Linked DNA regions of Oryctolagus cuniculus. The protein of the gene in region 5 interacts with the protein of the main gene of each other region in a pairwise test. Links are inferred from orthologs where the notes say so. Each region holds a gene or a part of one and is shown on either strand. Other genes may lie near its edges. The genes, in order: myeloid zinc finger 1, VAMP4, synaptonemal complex central element protein 1, BNIP3L and LMNA.

Evidence for each region.
Region 1: the proteins of LMNA (region 5) and myeloid zinc finger 1 interact in binary tests that used the Homo sapiens proteins (3 or more experiments, as listed by UniProt). The link is inferred for Oryctolagus cuniculus from reciprocal best matches to the Homo sapiens genes LMNA and ZSCAN12.
Region 2: the proteins of LMNA (region 5) and VAMP4 interact in a two-hybrid assay, tested with the Homo sapiens proteins (2 studies listed by BioGRID and IntAct, with this or other methods). The link is inferred for Oryctolagus cuniculus from reciprocal best matches to the Homo sapiens genes LMNA and VAMP4.
Region 3: the proteins of LMNA (region 5) and synaptonemal complex central element protein 1 interact in binary tests that used the Homo sapiens proteins (3 or more experiments, as listed by UniProt). The link is inferred for Oryctolagus cuniculus from reciprocal best matches to the Homo sapiens genes LMNA and SYCE1.
Region 4: the proteins of LMNA (region 5) and BNIP3L interact in a two-hybrid assay, tested with the Homo sapiens proteins (2 studies listed by BioGRID and IntAct). The link is inferred for Oryctolagus cuniculus from reciprocal best matches to the Homo sapiens genes LMNA and BNIP3L.

The regions. Positions count from the first base shown.
Region 1 is NC_091449.1:76,759-80,271, reverse strand, and holds part of myeloid zinc finger 1, read right to left. Parts: intron 1,890-3,513; exon of another isoform or gene 1,676-1,889; coding exon 1,240-1,675; intron 817-1,239; coding exon 645-816; intron 305-644; coding exon 246-304; intron 140-245; coding exon 19-139; intron 1-18. UniProt on the Homo sapiens protein: May be involved in transcriptional regulation.
Region 2 is NC_091438.1:26,791,274-26,795,400, reverse strand, and holds the start of VAMP4 (vesicle-associated membrane protein 4), read right to left. Parts: upstream 2,811-4,127; 5' UTR 2,590-2,810; intron 1-2,589. UniProt on the Homo sapiens protein: Involved in the pathway that functions to remove an inhibitor (probably synaptotagmin-4) of calcium-triggered exocytosis during the maturation of secretory granules.
Region 3 is NC_091446.1:234,930-238,943, forward strand, and holds the start of synaptonemal complex central element protein 1, read right to left. Parts: upstream 2,813-4,014; 5' UTR 2,732-2,812; coding exon 2,662-2,731; intron 2,560-2,661; exon of another isoform or gene 2,421-2,559; intron 2,241-2,420; coding exon 2,148-2,240; intron 1,437-2,147; coding exon 1,377-1,436; intron 1,096-1,376; coding exon 1,021-1,095; intron 461-1,020; coding exon 413-460; intron 205-412; coding exon 150-204; intron 1-149. UniProt on the Homo sapiens protein: Major component of the transverse central element of synaptonemal complexes (SCS), formed between homologous chromosomes during meiotic prophase. Requires SYCP1 in order to be incorporated into the central element.
Region 4 is NC_091433.1:47,839,878-47,843,390, forward strand, and holds part of BNIP3L (BCL2/adenovirus E1B 19 kDa protein-interacting protein 3-like), read right to left. Parts: intron 1,630-3,513; coding exon 1,526-1,629; intron 1,397-1,525; coding exon 1,247-1,396; intron 1-1,246.
Region 5 is NC_091438.1:42,571,714-42,575,226, reverse strand, and holds part of LMNA (lamin), read left to right. Parts: intron 1-851; coding exon 852-977; intron 978-1,093; coding exon 1,094-1,264; intron 1,265-1,369; coding exon 1,370-1,495; intron 1,496-1,723; coding exon 1,724-1,944; intron 1,945-2,043; coding exon 2,044-2,263; intron 2,264-2,681; coding exon 2,682-2,789; intron 2,790-2,921; coding exon 2,922-3,041; intron 3,042-3,313; coding exon 3,314-3,403; intron 3,404-3,513.

The DNA.
Region 1 (3,513 bases), on a different chromosome or scaffold from region 5:
ATGTCCTGTCTCACTCACCTGGAGAGAAGATGTCTCCAGCTTCCTCATGCCATAGGGGCCCTGGGCAGTCCTTCCATGAGGGCCCCTCAGGCCCAGTCTCACTCTGTGGAGAGGCCTGGTCCAGCGCTGTCTCACAGCCCTGAAACCAGAGTGGCCACTGCTCACTTATGCCCAGCTGGGCCCAGGCAGAGGGCCTCCCTGACACTCTGACTCAGGGAGTGGGTCGCAGGCTGTACAGGGCTCACCTGGGCCTCCTCAGGTGGAAGGGTGGGTACAGCCTCTAGAAGCCCAGAGTCCAGAAGCTCTAGAGAGAAAGAGTGGGTCAGGCAGTCCAAGGGAGTTCTCACTGGTGTGCCGTGAGCCAGGACTTAGGCAGGGAGAAGATCTGGGTATGGGCTGGGGTGGGGCAAAGCAGGGTACCCTGGGAGGTGAGGGGTCAAGCTGCAGTGGTATGAGGTGGCTTGCATGCCAGGGGACAGCTGTGGAAGTGGGGCTGTGGCCGTCAGGGCTGACATCTAAAGGGGGGTGAGTCAGAGGGGAGACCTGACTGGGTGAGAGATGGGAACCATTCCATCTAACAGGGGTGCGGCTCAGTGGACTCAGACTGCCTAGTCCAGGCCACCCTGGTCCCTGCCCACCCTCACCTGGGTCTTCTGTAACCTCTGGCTCCTCTTTCACCTGTAGGCCCAGTGGTGACTGCTGCATGGCCTCAGGCAGTATCTTGGGCCCAGGCTCTGGAGTTTGAGGTAGAGAATGGAAGCTGGAGGGGTCCATCCTCTCTGATAGGACCTCTTGGCCCTGCACATGGACTGTGACCTGTGGAGGTGTCCCCACCATGAGGGCCAAGCAGAAAATAGGGCTGTGTGCGGCTTGGAGTCCAGGGACACCCACCCATTCCAAGACCCCACGGATCTGCCTGGTAAACCTAAGTCCTTCAAGGACCTACCTCCTCTGGGCTCCAGTCAGGAAGTAAAGTTGCTTTCCTGCTGACACACAGCACTACCTGGTACCCTCCTCTCTCCCATCCTGTAGTTCCCAGGTGATGCAAGAATGGGCTGGTGAGCCTGGCTCTGGAACCCCTCCCTGCCCTGGGCAGCCTTGCAGTCTACTGCAGTGTGGTCCCTCCTCTCCCACAGGGATATGCATGTGTGTGACGACGGCACCTCCCCCCACCCCCAGAGTAAAGCGCAGCTGGACAGCGCTCCGGCCTGACCCCTCTGCTCAGGGCCACTGACTCACCCATCGCCGAGGCCCGCCTGGCTCCTGGCGAAGCCTGTCAACCAAGGTAGCAGCCTCCTCGGGGCTGCCTGGCTGCTGCCCCTGCACATGAACCTGGATCTCGGGGGGCAGCGCGCCCAGGAACTGCTCCAGCACCAGCAGCTCCAGCATCTGCTCCTTGGAGTGCACATCCGGCTGCAGCCAGTCCCGACACAGCTCTCGGAGCCGGGCCAGGGCCTCTCGGGGACCCACTGCCTCCTCGTAGCGGAAACACCGGAAGCGCAGGCGTGCGGCCTCGGGGCCTGGGTCCCACAGGGCAGCTTCGCCTTCCTCCTCGGAGTCCTCCAGCTTCACCGTGAAAGGCCCCTCGTCTTCTGGGGGTGTGCCACCTGCGGAGCCCAGCCCAGCTGGTCTCATTGAGAGTAACAGAGCAGCTCTCTGAGGCCGTTGTCTGCCCCTAGAGCAAGCACAGACAGTGGCAGCACACACAGGTAGAACACCCACTGAATGAACCTCCAACCTGCCCCGCTTGGAGGGCAGATGATCAGACAAGCACGGGCCACGCCCAGGGCTGTCGGGGCTGGGCGCTTCCACTGAGCCACTGCTGCTGGCTTCTTAGCTGGGCCTGTGTGGAGTGTGGTCGCTCTTACCCCAAACAGTGTTTCTTAGGCCTAGAAGAGACCTTCTCCTAAATACAGCCACCTTCCATGAGCGCAGTCTCATCCCTGCTCTGTGCTGTCCTACCAGGTGGACACACCTGTACCACCTGCTGCCCACTCGCTCCCAGCACCTGCACCACCGGCTGCCTACTCCCTCCCACACCTGTACAACTGCTGCCCACTCCCTCCCACACCTGCACCACCTGCTGCCCACTCCCTCCCACACCTGCACCACCTACTGCCCACTCCCTCCCGCACCTGTACCACCTGCTGCCCACTCCCTCCCACACCTGCACCACCTACTGCCCACTCCCTCCCACACCTGTACAACTGCTGCCTACTCCCTCCCAGCACCTACACCACCTACTGCCCACTCCCTCCCACACCTGCACCACCTACTGCCCACTCCCTCCCGCACCTGCACCACCTACTGCCCACTCCCTCCCACACCTGCACCACCTACTGCCCACTCCCTCCCGCACCTGCACCACCTACTGCCCACTCCCTCCCACACCTGCACCACCTACTGCCCACTCCCTCCCGCACCTACACCACCTACTGCCCACTCCCTCCCACACCTGCACCACCTGCTGCCCACTCCCTCCCACACCTGCACCACCTGCTGCCCACTCCCTCCCGCACCTGCACCACCTGCTGCCCACTCCCTCCCACACCTGTACCACCTGCTGCCCACTCCCTCCCACACCTGCACCACCTGCTGCCCACTCCCTCCCACACCTGTACCACCTGCTACCCACTCCCTCCCAGCACCTGCACCACCTGCTGCCCACTCCCTCCCACACCTGCACCACCTGCTACCCACTCCCTCCCACACCTGTACAACTGCTGCCCACTCCCTCCCACACCTGCACCACCTGCTGCCCACTCCCTCCCACACCTGTACCACCTGCTACCCACTCCCTCCCAGCACCTGCACCACCTGCGGCCCACTCCCTCCCACACCTGCACCACCTACTGCCCACTCCCTCCCACACCTGCACCACCTACTGCCCACTCCCTCCCAGCACCTGCACCACCTGCTGCCCACTCCCTCCCACACCTGCACCACCTACTGCCCACTCCCTCCCACACCTGCACCACCTGCTGCCCACTCCCTCCCACACCTGCACCACCTACTGCCCACTCCCTCCCAGCACCTGCACCACCTGCTGCCCACTCCCTCCCACACCTGCACCACCTGCTGCCCACTCCCTCCCACACCTGCACCACCTGCTGCCCACTCCCTCCCAGCACCTGCACCACCTACTGCCCACTCCCTCCCGCACCTGCACCACCTGCTGCCCACTCCCTCCCACACCTGCACCACCTGCTGCCCACTCCCTCCCACACCTGCACCACCTGCTGCCCACTCCCTCCCGCACCTGCACCACCTACTGCCCACTCCCTCCCACACCTGTACCACCTACTGCCCACTCCCTCCCACACCTGCACCACCTGCTGCCCACTCCCTCCCACACCTGCACCACCTGCTGCCCACTCCCTCCCGCACCTGCACCACCTACTGCCCACTCCCTCCCACACCTGCACCACCTGCTGCCCACTCCCTCCCACACCTGCACCACCTGCTGCCCACTCCCTCCCGCACCTGCACCACCTACTGCCCACTCCCTCCCAC
Region 2 (4,127 bases), about 16 Mb from region 5:
AGCTGGTGTCCACCAGATAATCTATGAAAGAATTGTTTGCCCCCCCCCCCCCCAATTCTAGGGTCACAAAAGTGTTCTGTGTCATGAGACAGTAAAAAAAAAAAAAAAAAAAAAAAAAAAAAAAAAAAAAAAAAGCTGTGTTTGTTTTCCTTATATCAGAACTGAGGTAAGTAGCTCCAGTCTTTGCTACAGAACCATCTCAGCCCCTTACATGTTAACATGCATAGTAACTTTCTAGGAATATGCTTGAGTATGCAATATAATTAAAATTTTCTGGCAGAAAAAGCTGTCCTATGCAAATATGAATTTTCAGCATTTTGAACTTGATGGGTGAATATACAGCAATTCAGAATAGCTAAGATGTACTGAATGTTATTTACTATGGGCTGCACCTTGCACTCAGCCATACACATGCATTTTTCTCTTTTAATCTTTGATACTCTTTTGAAGTAGGCACTAAGAAACTGAGAGAAAAAATAAGGCTTAGTAAATACAAATAACAGTGTTTGTCATTTCAGTCATTGAAATAGCAGAGACATAAACCTAAATTGCTCGACAGCTGTGCATTATCAGCTTTCTTTGCTTATTTGAGAGGGAGGGAGGAAGGGAGACAGAGAGAGAGAGAACATGTTCCCAGCTACTTGCTCACAAAATGTCCACGATGGTCCCCTACCAGCTGATGCCAGGAGCCTGAAACTCAATCCACGTCTCCCACATGTGTGGCAGGAACCCAATCATTTCAGCCATCTCTGCTGCCTCCCAGAGTGTGCATTAGCAAGAAGTTGACACCAGGAGCTGGAGCCAGGAATGGAACTCAGGCACTCAAATGTGGGATGCAAGCATCTTAACCAGTGTCTTAACCACTATGCTAAATGCCTGCCCCCATAATTAGCTCCAATATTTACTCAATTAGGTTACACATTTCTGTCCTGGAAAACACATTTTCCCATGATAATCCAGGAGCCCTGTTCCCTCTTCATAAGAATTTAAGATCTTTAAATTAGGTATTGTTAGGCATTAGTTTGTTAGCTAATGTTGGGCACTGAAGAAAGAAAAAGGACCAGGGTATAGGTTCAAAGACCTAATAAAGGTAATAAATATTTTGAGCCAGCTTCCTATAAAAAAAATACTGAAAAGAAATGTTTCCAAGTTAGAAACTCAACCACTTGTCACATAAACCAGTGTTGCCACCTAAGTAACAGTTCCAGAGTTCTTCAATTCACAGTTTTTGTCACATACGTCCTGTCCATTTATTCCCCATATTTCAATTTCCAAATAATTCATCCATGCAGGAATGTTGCAGAATGCATGGAAAAACAGATGACAAAGCAAATAACTGAGAAACTTGAGCTTTTCTCATGTGTTTGTTTATATTTTAAACCCTACAAAGAGGCTGCCTCAGCAGCCCCAAAGCAAGACTTGTAAAATGCCTTTATGAGACCTAAAGATAAGATCTTAATGATGAGCAAACCCCCTTCGAGGTCCCATTCTCCAAGAATCAACCTCACAAAGTCAAGAAATCATGTCTGACAAACAGAAAAGCCAGAAGGAAGATTAATTAGCTATGCTTGAGGAGTCACAAGGCAACAGATATTTGTATCAAACTAGTAGAAATAAACCACGCTCAGCTATTGGATTCGTACATATTCTGCCTAAGATTTCTCCTACAAAAATACCTGTGAATTTAGGTGTTTGTATGTAAATGAGGCAGCCACCATTATGTATTGCCACACTGAGGACAGGCACCACTCCACAATTCACTTTAAAAATGTCACAACACTTTATACTTCTTACATCATCATCACAGGTAAAAAACCTCATGTACGCATTTTTGTAGTGTGTTCTCTATTCCGTGGCTTTATATGTAATAACCTTCTAATCTGCTGCTTAATAAATGCTGACTTTTTGCTTTCCAAAGAAAACCAAACACACACACACACCATTTATGTTTTTCAGTTCACAAAAGCTGGAATTTGAGCAGCCTTCCTTTTCCCAGCCTCCAATCCCTTTCTGACTTCTCTTTCCCATCTCTCAGCAGCTTTGGTTGCCCTCTCTCAGAAATAGAGACTTGGCTGGACACACTGGAGATGTTATTCATACAACCTGTCAAGTGTACTGCCCGACCCCCGCCTTCCGGGGTTAGAAACGTACACGGGCTGGTGTTTTCGCCCCAGCCCTTCCTTAAAGCACCATTTCCATAGCCTCCAACAGGCAGCTCCCCTTACTCCAGCGATCGCACCAGGCCACGGACCCCCACGTCTGCTAACTCGGGCCCATCCTGCCCCTGACACCCACTCACCCCAGCTACCTCCCGCTCTGAACAAATCTTCCTCATCCACGCACCCTTCTCTTCCCATCTCCCCAGCGCACCCCTCACCTCCAGTCTCCACAACCGCCCCCCATCCGCACACCCCGTCACCGACCCCGGCCCCAACCCCTTCCCTCTCAGGGCTCCTCGGCCCCCGGCCCCTAGACCCCTGCCCGCCTAGCCCGACCCGGACGTTGGGGGGCCGTGGGGCAGGGGCGTCGTCTTCCTTTCCTGCCTCCTCACACCAGCCCCTCCCGCCGGGAAGAGGCCGGCGCCAGTACCTGAGGCTCCCGGGGAGCTCCCGGCAGCTCTCCCGAGCGGGCGGCGCTGGGCGGGCGGGGGAAGGAGCGGGAAGCCGAGGGAAAAGGCTGGGAGGGGGAGACAGTGGGCGCGGACCCGGCGTCGGCCGCTGCGCCGCAGCTGCGCCCCCGCTCATCGAGCCGATCGGCGCTCCGCGGCCTGGCTGCAGGCGGAGGGGGCAGCCCAGGGCGCGGCGATCGCCGAGGGAGTCGATTCCGCCCGCTGCGTCTAACCCCGAAGAACCTCTGGCCTTCCAGCCGTCTGAGATCTGGATACCCAAGCTATGCTGTGTTTTGAGGAGGAACAGTGGTTCTCGAGGTGCTGGCGCGCATCAGGCGTGCGTGGTGGGCGCGAGGGGAGCGGTGTCGGAGCCGCTGAGAAGTAGCTTAGGGTGGGGCTCGGAGCTTCGTGACTGGGGTCGGTAAGACCTTTAGGTGGTGCTTGTGCGAGATCCGTCCCCAGGCTGAGGAAGTCGAATGGGAAGAGGAAGGTGGCTTAGAGGACCAAGGGACACGCAGGGAGAGGAGGAAGTAGACACGCTCTTACATGCTGCTGCTGTTTCTGTGTGGTTGACTTAATGCACTAATTGAAAAGGCGCCGCTAAGGCTTGCCCCTGGAGTTGCCGTATCCGGAAGGCTTGTGAAACTACTGGTGCCCGGGCACTACTCAGATTCTGATTTAGTTTGCTATGTTCACAGACTGCGAGCAGTGGGGTTGGGCTCCCTCAAGAGCTGGAGTTCGCTACTGATGAGGACAAAAGTGGTCCATCTGGAATGGAAGCCTCTTGTAGTTTCTGTCCCAGCCTCCACGGATAACCCAGAAATTAGTTCTTCTCTGAAGTGATTTTGTGTCTGTACTATTTGTGAGTAATCTATTCTTTTTCTTAGTTTTTTTTTTTTTTTTTTTTTAGATTTTTAAAAAATGCTTTGACTTGTAAGTAAGAATGTCAGAGACAGAGGAAGAGACACAGAGAAAGAGAGCTTCCTTGTACAGGTTCACTCCCCAAATGGCTCTAACAGCCAGGTCTGGTCTAGCCCGAAGTCAGGGGCTGGGTTCTCTTTCCTGGTCTCTCACGTGGGTGGCAGGGCCCAAGTACTTGGGCCATTTTCTGCTGCTTTCCTATGTAAGTTAGCTGGGAGTCAGCTAGGAAGCTCCAACCAGTGCTCTGATACAGGTGGTCAGCATCCTAAGTGGTGGCTCAAGCTACTGCGCCACTGCGTTGGCCTCTTAGTCTTTTAACCAAAAGGATCTGCCAGTCTTTTTGGTATGATTGCTTACGGGAGGGAAAATACAAACTTCACCTTTAATCACTTGAACAAAGTCCCTTTGATTTCCCTAACATGTGTGAAAACTTAGAAAATGTCGTTTTACAGTTACCATGAATCCAATATGCCAGTAAACCTGAAAGATGATAAATAACACTGAATTTAGAGTCAGGACTCCAGCCAACCTGAATTATATTATTTCCTCCCCTGTTTTCTTTCTCATGAACTCCAGTTATGGAGACGGTAATTCTTCA
Region 3 (4,014 bases), on a different chromosome or scaffold from region 5:
CAGTGGAAGATGGCCCAAGTGCTTGGGCCCCTGCACCCGTGTGGGTGACCTGGAGGAAGCTGAGGGGAGGCCCCCTTTGACCCACACTGTACAGAGGGTCTCAACCTCACCTCCTTTGTACCTCTGCCCCCTCACAACGAGGCTCTCACCTCTGTGCCTCACTCTCCTTCTCCTGGCAGTGCAGCCGGAGGATCCTCAGGGTCTCTGTGGGGAGAACAGGGCCTGTGAGCTCGTCACGGCCCCAGGTCTGCGCAGAGAACAGGACCAGGTCACGTCAGGCCCATGGACACCTGATTGGACTGGTACACGCCACAGGAGGCTGAGGCAGGTGTCTGAGACCTCAGCTGCCAAAGGGAGAGGGGTTTCTCCCAGGCGTGAGAGGCAGAGCTGGAGACGGAGGGCCTGTAAATACCTTGCTTTTTGTTCAGGATCTCCTGCACACGTGCTTTCTCTCCATGCACTAGAAGACACAACAAATGCTCAGGCATCAGGAGGGACCCCACAGACCCTCAGGGATTGGGTGGCCCGCGTCACATGGGTCTGCCTCACCCCCCAGACCCCGCCCCTCTGGTGCCCACCCTCTCTGTAGGCACCAAACAACCCTGACATTTATTAAGGGTGGCTGGGGGGACTCCACGGGATGCCAGTGTCTCTCCTCCCACGTGAAATGGGGTGAGGACATGGAGCAGGAAGGGCATCTGACCAGTGGGGACAGTGTGGAATCTTTAGGTAGGGGGATTGGGAAAAGCCTCCGAGAAGGGGACAGCTGAGTGACAACCCAGGCAGCAGAGGAATCTGTAGTATCTGGGAGTTGCAGGGCAGCCGGGCAAAGGCCCAGAAGCAAGAGTATGCTGGGGAGGTGTTCCCAGGACACCCGCACCAGCAGAGGGGAGAGGGAGATACGGGCAGGGCCTGAGGCTGCAAAGGGGCAGGGCTCTTGGCCACAGCATAGATGCCGCAGTACTCGGGTGGGGTAAGCTGGACACTGCAGAGGCCTCCGGCGACGCCCACGTCACATACACACATCCAGTTCCTTCTGCAGGGCTTCCCACACAGTCCGGGCTTCCCCCAGCTCCTCGCTGGCTTTCTTTTTGGCTTCAACAAAGAGCAGAAGGGAGACACTGTGTGAGTACGGCCGGGGCAGCACCACCCTCTTGCAAACATGAACACTGCACGCCTGTTTTCCAGCAAACATGGAGGGGCCTGAATCTTACAGAGGAGGTGACAAGGCTCCTGATAGCACTGTGGCAGGTGCGTGGGGAACGCTCTGGTATTAATTAGTGCTCTGCCGTTGTGCTGTGACTATCTGTAATTTTCAGACGAGGAGCCCTACACATCACACAGCCCCCGCTGCAGGCCAAGGTCCCTGAGCTCACCTTGCTGAACCTCATTAATGCGGTTAATCAGGACCTCGACTCGGGGCTCCAGGCTCCCCACTGCAGGGAGTAAACAGAGATGGAGCTGACACAGCGGGAGGCCATGGTTCCCGCCCTGCCCGTGCTGCTTCCGGTTCACAGACTCCCAGCAGGGCTGTGTGGTCCCCTTACAGCTCACATTCTCGGTGGGAGACAAGAAACAGACAGCTGGAGATCCGGACACAGGGAAAGAGAAGTGAAGTGTGATAACGGGTTATAAAGTGAGGAGTGAGTGTGTGTGTGTGTGTGTCAGAGTGTGTGTGAAAGTGTGAGTGTGTGTCAGTGTGCACTGAGTGTGTGTGATGGGGGATGGCACTGGTGCAGCGGGCAAAGCTGCCAGTGGAGACAACCGGCATCCCACGTGGGCTCCACGTCCAGTGTCGGCTGCTTCCGCTGGGCCCAGCTCCCGAATTCACCCGGGAAAGCAGTGGAAGATGGTCCGTGTCCTTGGGTCCCTGTACCCACGTGGGAGGCCTAGAGGAAGCTCCTGGCCCCTGGCTTTGCACTGGCCCAGCCGTGGCCACTGCAGCCTTTTGGAGAGTGAACCGGCGGCTGGAAGACCTCGCCTGTCTCCCCCGGCCCCGTACTGGGCCTTTCAAATAAATAAGTGAACTCTTTATAAAAAGTAAGCAAACACCGTGGAAGGAAAGAATACGTGAAAGAAAGCGCTCGGGGCTGAGTCCTCGGCGTGGTGAGCCGTGGGCCTGCACCGAGCCCACAGGCTGACCCTACCCAGGCCGAGCCCCTGACCACGGGACACAGGACCTTTCTGCAGCCTCGCCACCACGTCCATCAGGTCGTCAATCTTCTGTGACTTGTCCTGCCCTGTGGTGCGAAACCACGCCCGTCAGCGTGAAGACGGGGCCCAGGAGGGCCCGCCGGCCCGGGCCCAGGGGCACTCCCAGAGCTGCGGCCCCGTCCCTGTGTGCAGCCCTGGGTGGGCAGGACGGACCCTGCGGGCGGGCGACATCCGACAGGGGGCGCGGCGCGGGCGGGGGCTCGGACCTGGCGGGGCTGGGGGCCCTGCCGCCCCCTCCCGTCCTGGCGGCGAGGCGCGGTCTGGGGAACCCCCTGGGAAGCCTGCTTGCGCTCAGGTGAGGACCACGGGGACCGCGAGTCCGCAGGTGCGTCGGGGCCAGGAAGGCGGGGCCAGGCCCGGCACGCCCGGCCGACGCCACCCCACGCCTTCCGCTCTTGGAAGCCGCGACGCCCCCTGCCCAGGGAGGCCCCGCCGCGCTCCCGCCACCTGCAGCCTTCTCGGCGCGGTCCGCGGCGCCCATGGGCTCCACACGCGAAGGCCCGGACCGCGCGGCCATTTCCTCTCAGCTCGGCGGCGCCTGTGCCTCGGCGCCTTGACCGCTGATTGGACGACGCTGACGCCTGCGCAGTGCGCTCAGCGCGCCGTCACCCAGCGGGGCGCCCTGCCCGGCAGCCACTGCGCATGCGCACGTATGCAGGCATGTGCACCTCAGCTGTGTGCACATACGTGTACAGCTGTGTCCGCATCTCCTCTGTGTACACACATGTACAGCGTGGTCTGTGTCTCAGCTGTGTGCACACTCGTGTGCAGGTGTGTCTGTGATCAATTCTTTGGTTCAGTTGTTCTCCAAAACAGATGAGCATTGGATATGCTGATTGCCGCTCAGGGAGGTGTCTGCCATGCTCCAGGAAGAACGTTGTTCCTGGGTCAATCAGACTGCACAGGTACAAACCCAAATTTGTCCTTTCCTGGACAAAGCCAAACAGCTGCAGGATCAGGCCAAGCAGGGCTGGGATTTCTGGCCTGACAGCTGGTCATGGAAATCCTGACTATTTCCTTTCTTTGGCCCTATAACTTCTGTAATCTTGATGCTTCTCTTTGGACTGTATGTTTGTTCATTTTGTTTCTAACATTATAAAAGCTGTCGAACTCCAAATGGTCGTCAGGCAAGGCTTCCAGCCCATTCCATTGGACAACCTGAGCAGCACTCTGGACTAAGCAGGACAGTCTTTCCAGGGCCACTGTCGCACACTATAGGACAGGTAGCAAGAGGAAATATCCAGGCCAGTGCTGTGGCTCACTAGGCTAATCCTCTGCCTTGCGGCGCCGGCACACTGGGTTCTAGTCCCGGTCGGGGCACCGGATTCTGTCCCGGTTGCCCCTCTTCCAGTCCAGCTCTCTGCTGTGGCCCAGGAGTGCAGTGGAGGATGGTCCAAGTGCTTGGGCCCTGCACCCCATGGGAGACCAGGATAAGTACCTGGCTCCTGCCATCGGATCAGCGCGGTGCGCCGGCCGCAGCAGCCATTGGAGGGTGAACCAACGGCAAAGGAAGACCTTTCTCTCTGTCTCTCTCTCTCACTGTCCACTCTGCCTGTCAAAAAAAAAAAAAAAAAAAAAAAAAGAGGAAATATCCATATCCATCTCTACGCCCATTTGTCAGCTTCCAAAGTAGCTACAGAAGATGGAACTTCGCCCATTTATCCCAAAAAGAATTATGGGAATTTCTCTCTTGAGGGGGGAATGTTAGGTAGGAAGTCAGAAATTAGCTTATGTGTGTGTGACAAGGCATCTGCATCTCAAAGTCACCCCGATAACTTTCCAGGTACAGCCCAGTATCTG
Region 4 (3,513 bases), on a different chromosome or scaffold from region 5:
TGGAAAGTTGTATCTGTGTCTCTGTGTTCGCATCTCTGTGTGACAGCTGAGTTCCCCACAAAGGGAAGAGATGGCCATCTTTGGTACATCACATACAGAAAATGACCACTCAACAAGCTTCCAGAGAATAACAAGTTGCTCTTGAAAAAAATTACCAGCCAGGGGCCGGCACTGCGGCCTCGTGGGTAAAGCCGCTGCTTGCAGTGCTGGCGTCCATATGGGCGCCGGTGTGGGAGACCCAGAAGAAGCTCCTGGCTTCGGATCTGCACAGCTCTGGCAGTTGCAGCCAACTGGGGAGTGAACCAGCGGATGGAAGACCTTTCTCTCTGTCTCTATCTGCCCCTGCCTTTCAAATAAATAAAAAAAATACTAAAAAATAAAAAGAAAAAATTATCAGCCACAGCTGGCATTGTAGTATAACAACCTAAGCTGCCACCCGCAATGCCAGCATCTCATCTGGGTGCCAGTTCAAGTCCTGGCTGCTCACTTCCCATCCAACTCCCTGCTAATGAGCCTGGGAAAGCAGTGGAAGACGGTCTAAGAACTTGGGTCCCTGCACCCACAGGGGAGACCTGGATGAAGCTCCTGGCTCTGGCATGGCCCCGACCCAGCTGTTGTGGCCATTTGTGGAGTGAACCAATGGATGGAAGCTCTCTCTCTGTAACTCTGCCTTTCAAATAAATAAATCTAAAAAAAAAAAAAAAAAATTACCAACTACTATTTAACTCTTAAAATGTTTTATAAGTGTCCTCACTTGTTCAAATCAAGGAAAAAATATTTAAAAGACAGGCCTTTAAAAAGTAATGAGTTACTGGCAAATATGAGGCTGATTTTAGACTAAATGAAAATGCTACACAGAAAAGAAAGCAGCGCCCACAACCCACCTACCAGTTCCACTCCAGTGTCTACTCAGTGTTATGGCGCATCTTCTCATCCGGGAAAAAAAGCATCAACCCCCAAGTGTTCAGACTAAAAATTACTTTTCTGTATAAGTTATTCAAGACTTAAATGTTAAGCAACAAAACCCAAAGAGAAAAATTCAGTATGAACATCTTATTTTCAAATAGGAAAAAAGTCCTATTATTAAAAATCCTTATTATGGGTACACCAAACATGTACCAAGTTTAATCCTCGCTTGAGTTAAAACAAAAGCAAAGCAATTCACACTGCGTTCACAAGTTTCTTACTGCAAAGAAACCACGAGGGCGGGATGAATGGAAGAAAGGAGGCATTCGCTGGTACTTACCCCAGCCCCAAAGCCAGCACGTGGGAAAGGAAGAGAGACGGGATGAAGACCTTCAGGAACTCTGCAGAGAAAATGCCCCCTTTCTTCATGGCGCCGCTTTTCCTCATGCTTAAAGACACAGAACGTTTCGGGTGCCGGAAGTGGAACTCCCTGAGAAGGAAAACCAGAGCTGGTGTCACAATCGCATCTGCTGATGCCACGGGGATGACCAGGCCCACTGCCACCAGGCGTGTGAAACAGAACCCCGGCACCCACGGAGAAGGCACGTGGAGAACTCACTTGGGTGGAATGTTTTCAGGTCTACTGGACCAATCCGATACCCAGTCTGCACTCTTCTTCAAAGCCTCTACTTCCTTCTCTCCTTCCACAACTTCTTCTTCTGACTGTAAACAAGAAAGCAAAACCAACTGCTCATTCAAAGACGTAGCTGGCAAACAATAGACTGAACTCACATAGCTGTGCACCGGTAATTTATCTGTAATATGCTACTTTTTTTTCTTTTAACAAAAGGCTGACAGAATGATCTAAGATTAGAGTATTCAGTATCTTTAAAGAACTCAAGGGGCTGGGACTGGCATTGTGGTGCAGCAGGTAAAACTACCACGTGCGACACTGGCATCCTAGCACTGGCTCAAGTCCACTGTTCTTGAGAACCAGCTCCCTGCTAATGCGCCTGGGAAGCAGCAGCAGATGGTCTAAGTGCCTGGGCCCCTGCCATCCACACGGCTGACTGGGATGAAGCTCCTTGGCTTCGGTTTGGCTCTGCTCTGGCCACTGCCGCCATTTGGGGAGTGAACCAGTGGATGGAAGACCTCTCTCTCCTTCTCTCCCTCTGACTTTCAAGTAAAAAATAAGATAAATCTTAGGGAAAAAAAGTAGTTAAGACATGCAGAGCCTGACACATCCACATGATACTTTTTCCACAGGAGCCGGCCACTACACACAGTCCCTTCCAGCACAGAAACCCCAGGGGAAGCCCTGTGTTCGTGGGTGACTCTTGTGAGTGCCATTCTTAGCTAGTTCTGCTGAACTTGGCAGATTCCACACCGTGACACAATGTAGCATTTACGGGTGAGCTTTTTCCATTGGGCATTGAGATTACTCAGAATCATGAGTTGGCTCTTTGAAGTGAGACTGAAATCATCCTAACTCACAAACAATGAAACGGCACAGTTTACTTGCAGATTGGCTGTGCACACAGAGGCTCTGACTGTGAACACACTGCAGGGCCTTTCAGTTTACAGCTTCTCCACTGGCCTCACTTGTCTCTTTAAAACTGCTCAAAGATTTAGGTTCAGATCCTTGAACAAGTTAATACTACCTATTTTCCAATAGGAAAATAAGCTAAGATTTTATGCTCTCAAAAATTTTTTGCTCAGAGGATACAATTTTTCTCTCAGTTGAGTAAAACAACATTATCTTTGGATTAGTATTAAATACAAAAAACGCCAGGTAAGTTTCTAGCCGAATTTTAATGCTAACTTTAAAAATAACAGTTCTGTGCATTCCTCACTTACTCCTGCTCTGTGCTTTCCTTTTATTAATCACAAATTTGCTACTTTTAGCTTTTAAATTGCCTCCCAGTGCTTGGAATTGCAGAGTATGAAAAGAAAAAAATCATATTATCTAGTTATCTAAGATTCTTGGTTTTAACTAAATCAATAACCTTCTCTCTACATCCATCAATATCTGTTCAGAGAAGATTCTGATCAATTTAGCCTGGTGTCATGTGAAGTCCCTCATCTCCTAATCACTTAAGTTTTCTCTCTTTGGTCTGTTGTAAGCTTTCCTAGGTGTCTAAAGGTGGATATTCAGCTCCATGGACAGAGAGACCAGCTTCCTAACAGAGGAACAAGGAGGACATCATCTTTCAATGACACCCAACAGCCAGCCAGCCTGTCTGGCCACACACAGAGCAAAAATATCTTCAATGTCCATATTCTGCTACAAAACCTAGACCCTCAAAGACTATCATCCTGTAAGCCCAGCTGGAGAGACCTCTGTCCTAAATGCATCGCCTCAGGCGTCTCCCTACTGCACTCGCCAGGGATTTTCTGTTCATTCTCAGGATCCTGTCAGCTCTCAATCCCCTTCTGTGGCCTAGTTTAGTAGAAGGAACAGGGGCCACAGACGCAGACGGGCCCACTTCTGGTCTGCTTCTAGCTCTACCCTGCTCTGTGGTTGTAGATACGGAACTTATTAGGACAAAGCTTCGTTTCTCCCATTTTTTGTGGGAATAATATCATCTCTTTCGCTGCACTGAGGAC
Region 5 (3,513 bases):
GAGATGCCAGCGGACGATGACAAAACCTCAGCTGGCCTCCTGGATCTTCTGCCGCCAGCTCCACCCTTCCCCCAGCCCGTGCTTTCTAGAACAAACATCTGAGCAGGGTGCTGCCCAGTATGAGCTTCTCAGAGGTTCTTTCCGTGGCAGATAAAGACAGCTCTGCAGAAGGCACGGGTGTGGCTGAGCAGGTTCGAGTCCCGGCTCTGCTCCCTATTCCAGCTTCCTGCTAATGCGAACAGGAGGCAGCAGGGATGGCTCCCACATGGGAGACCCAGATGCAGTTCTCCGCCCCTGGCTTCAGCCTCCCCCAGGCTTGGCTGTTGTGGGCATTTGGGGAGTGAAACAGCAGATGGCTGATCTCTCTTCCCGCAAATAAATAAAAAATCTAATTAATTTTGAAAAAGGGATCTCTGTATGACCCATCACTTCACCGCCCCATCCATCAGCTGAAGGCCCTAGAACACGTGTGTGCCTTCGTAGCCCCGTGCCTTTGCACGTGCTGTCTTGGCCCCTCCCCAGGCTGCCCTATCAAGCCTCCCAGACCCCTTCTTCCACCACTCCAGCCACACTGGTTCCTTCCCCGCTGTGCTCTGTACACACCGCCCTCCTAGCAACTGCTATCTTGTGCCACAGTTTGGAGGTCTTACGAGGGTGGGAGGGCTGTGGCTTTCATTTCTTAGCACAAGAGCTACCCAAGTCATCCCCATCCTAACCTCCCCGGGCACCCCAAGGCCTCGCTTCCCCCTGGACCTGTCCCTATGCATGGAAGGGACCCGCTGGGAACGGCCTGGGGCTCGGCATCGCTGCAGCTGGCACATCCCGTGACCCCTCTGCCCACTTCCTCTTAGCTCGAGGCAGCCCTGGGGGAGGCCAAGAAGCAGCTGCAGGACGAGATGCTGCGGCGAGTGGACGCCGAGAACCGGCTGCAGACCCTGAAGGAGGAGCTGGACTTCCAGAAGAACATCTACAGCGAGGTGGGGCTTGCGCATGGGGGTTGGAGATGCCGGGGCCAGGGGGCCGGGCCAGGCCCGAGCTGTAAGGAACGGGGGCCGATTTATGGGTTCCGTGTCCTTGTTCCCACCCCTTCCAGGAGCTGCGTGAGACCAAGCGGCGCCACGAGACCCGGCTGGTGGAGATCGACAACGGGAAGCAGCGCGAGTTTGAGAGCCGGCTGGCCGACGCGCTGCAGGAACTGCGGGCCCAGCACGAGGACCAGGTGGAGCAATACAAGAAGGAGCTGGAGAAGACCTACTCCGCCAAGGTGCCCCCCCCCACACCCCACCCCGGGATCTGAGGCCGCCCCAGCAATGCCGTCCTCAGGCCCCGCCCTCCTAAACTCCCCCCGCCCCCCCGGCCTTCCCCGCAGCTGGACAACGCCAGGCAGTCTGCTGAGCGGAACAGCAACCTGGTGGGGGCCGCGCACGAGGAGCTGCAGCAGTCCCGCATCCGCATCGACAGCCTCTCGGCCCAGCTCAGCCAGCTGCAGAAGCAGGTGCCTCTGGGGACAGCACGGATGGGGGGGGCACCCAGGGTGAGGTCTGGAGGGCGGAGGGGAGGGGAGAGATGAGCACGCCTCCAGGACTGCAGGCCGAGAGAATGAGCTGGGGCCCAGGATTTGGAAGCAAGTGTCCTGTCCGCTTTGTCTCACTGCACCTGCACGTCTAGGGCGTGTTGATTTTCCCCTCGGGAGCTCACACACCCCCGCCTCTCCCCATCTCAGCTGGCAGCCAAGGAAGCGAAGCTGCGGGACCTGGAGGACTCGCTGGCCCGGGAGCGGGACACCAGCCGGCGGCTGCTGGCGGAGAAAGAGCGGGAGATGGCCGAGATGCGGGCAAGGATGCAGCAGCAGCTGGACGAGTACCAGGAGCTGCTGGACATCAAGCTGGCCCTGGACATGGAGATCCATGCCTACCGCAAGCTCCTGGAGGGCGAGGAGGAGAGGTGGGCTGGGGAGCACCCGGGAGCTCCAGCAATAGGCCCTGGCCTGCGCCGGGCCTGCATGAGACCCCTTCCCCTAACTCTGTCTCCTCCCCTCCCCAGGCTACGCCTGTCCCCCAGTCCCACCTCGCAGCGCAGGGGCCGTGCCTCTTCGCACTCGTCCCAGACGCAGGGCGGGGGCAGCATCACCAAGAAGCGGAAGCTGGAGTCGGCCGAGAGCCGCAGCAGCTTCTCGCAGCACGCGCGCACCAGCGGGCGCGTGGCAGTGGAGGAGGTGGATGAGGAGGGCAAGTTTGTGCGGCTGCGCAACAAGTCCAATGAGGTAGCCCCGCCCCTTCCCCACCACACCCCATCCTGGGCGGGGCCTGAGGGGATACTGCAAGAGGAAGGGCGGAGGGAACCCGGGAGGACCCTTCCTTCATTCCCTCTGCGGGCAGCCAGGGCCAGTGTGTATGTCTCCCGCTCCCTGGTTCCAGTCCTGCCTGGGAAACCTGGGACAAGTTATGTCGCCTCTCGGGGGATCAGTCTGCTCATCTGTAAAATGGACATGAGTGATAGCCCCCAGGTGAAAGATGGCGCACCATGAAGTCCATGGTGGCGGCTGTTTTTTAGTAGGGGGGGGGGGCAAGGCAGTAATGGGGTAGAGGGACCAGGAGCCTCTGAGTGCCGGCAGCGGGTGAGATTAACCCAAAGAACCAGGATACACCTCCCCTTCTCCCCCTTCCCTCCCTGCCTGGCAGGACCAGTCCATGGGCAACTGGCAGATCAAGCGCCAAAACGGAGATGACCCCTTGCTGACTTACCGCTTCCCGCCCAAGTTCACCCTGAAGGCCGGGCAGGTGGTGACGGTGAGTGGCAGGGCGCTTGGCGCCCTGCGGTAGCCTGGGGCGGGGTGTGTGTGTGTGTGTGTGTGTGTGTGGAGGACGGGCCTGAGGACAGTAGCACGGAGTGAGTGCCCTTTCCCGCTTCCTTTTCTCCAGATCTGGGCTGCTGGAGCCGGGGCCACCCACAGCCCCCCTACCGACCTGGTGTGGAAGGCGCAGAACACTTGGGGCTGTGGAAACAGCCTGCGCACGGCTCTCATCAATTCCACTGGGGAAGTGAGTGTGCTGCGGGCTGGGCAGGGCTCCCCCTAGTGGCCACAGTCGGACGGTCACTTTGCCGGTCTCCTACGGGGGGTGGGGGTGGGGGTGGGGGTGGTGGTTGTGCCTCCCTGGGGTGGGAGCAAGTTCCTTAGCGCCGGCCCCACAGAGGGCAGGGTCAGCAGCAGGCCGGCTGCTGGCGGTCCCCGTGGGTAGGTGTGCCGCACGCCGCCCCCACCCCCCCGCCGGCCCCGTGTGGCCCCTCACCCTCAGGTCTGTGTCCCTGGCAGGAGGTGGCCATGCGCAAGCTGGTGCGCTCGGTGACTGTGGTGGAGGACGACGACGACGAGGATGGAGATGACCTGCTCCATCATCACCATGTGAGTGGCAGCCGCCGCTGAGGCCAAGCCTGGCCAGACCTGGGGGCAGCCCCTCACGCCCAAAAATCTTTTCATTAAAGAATGTTTTGGAACTTCACTGGCTGCCCTGG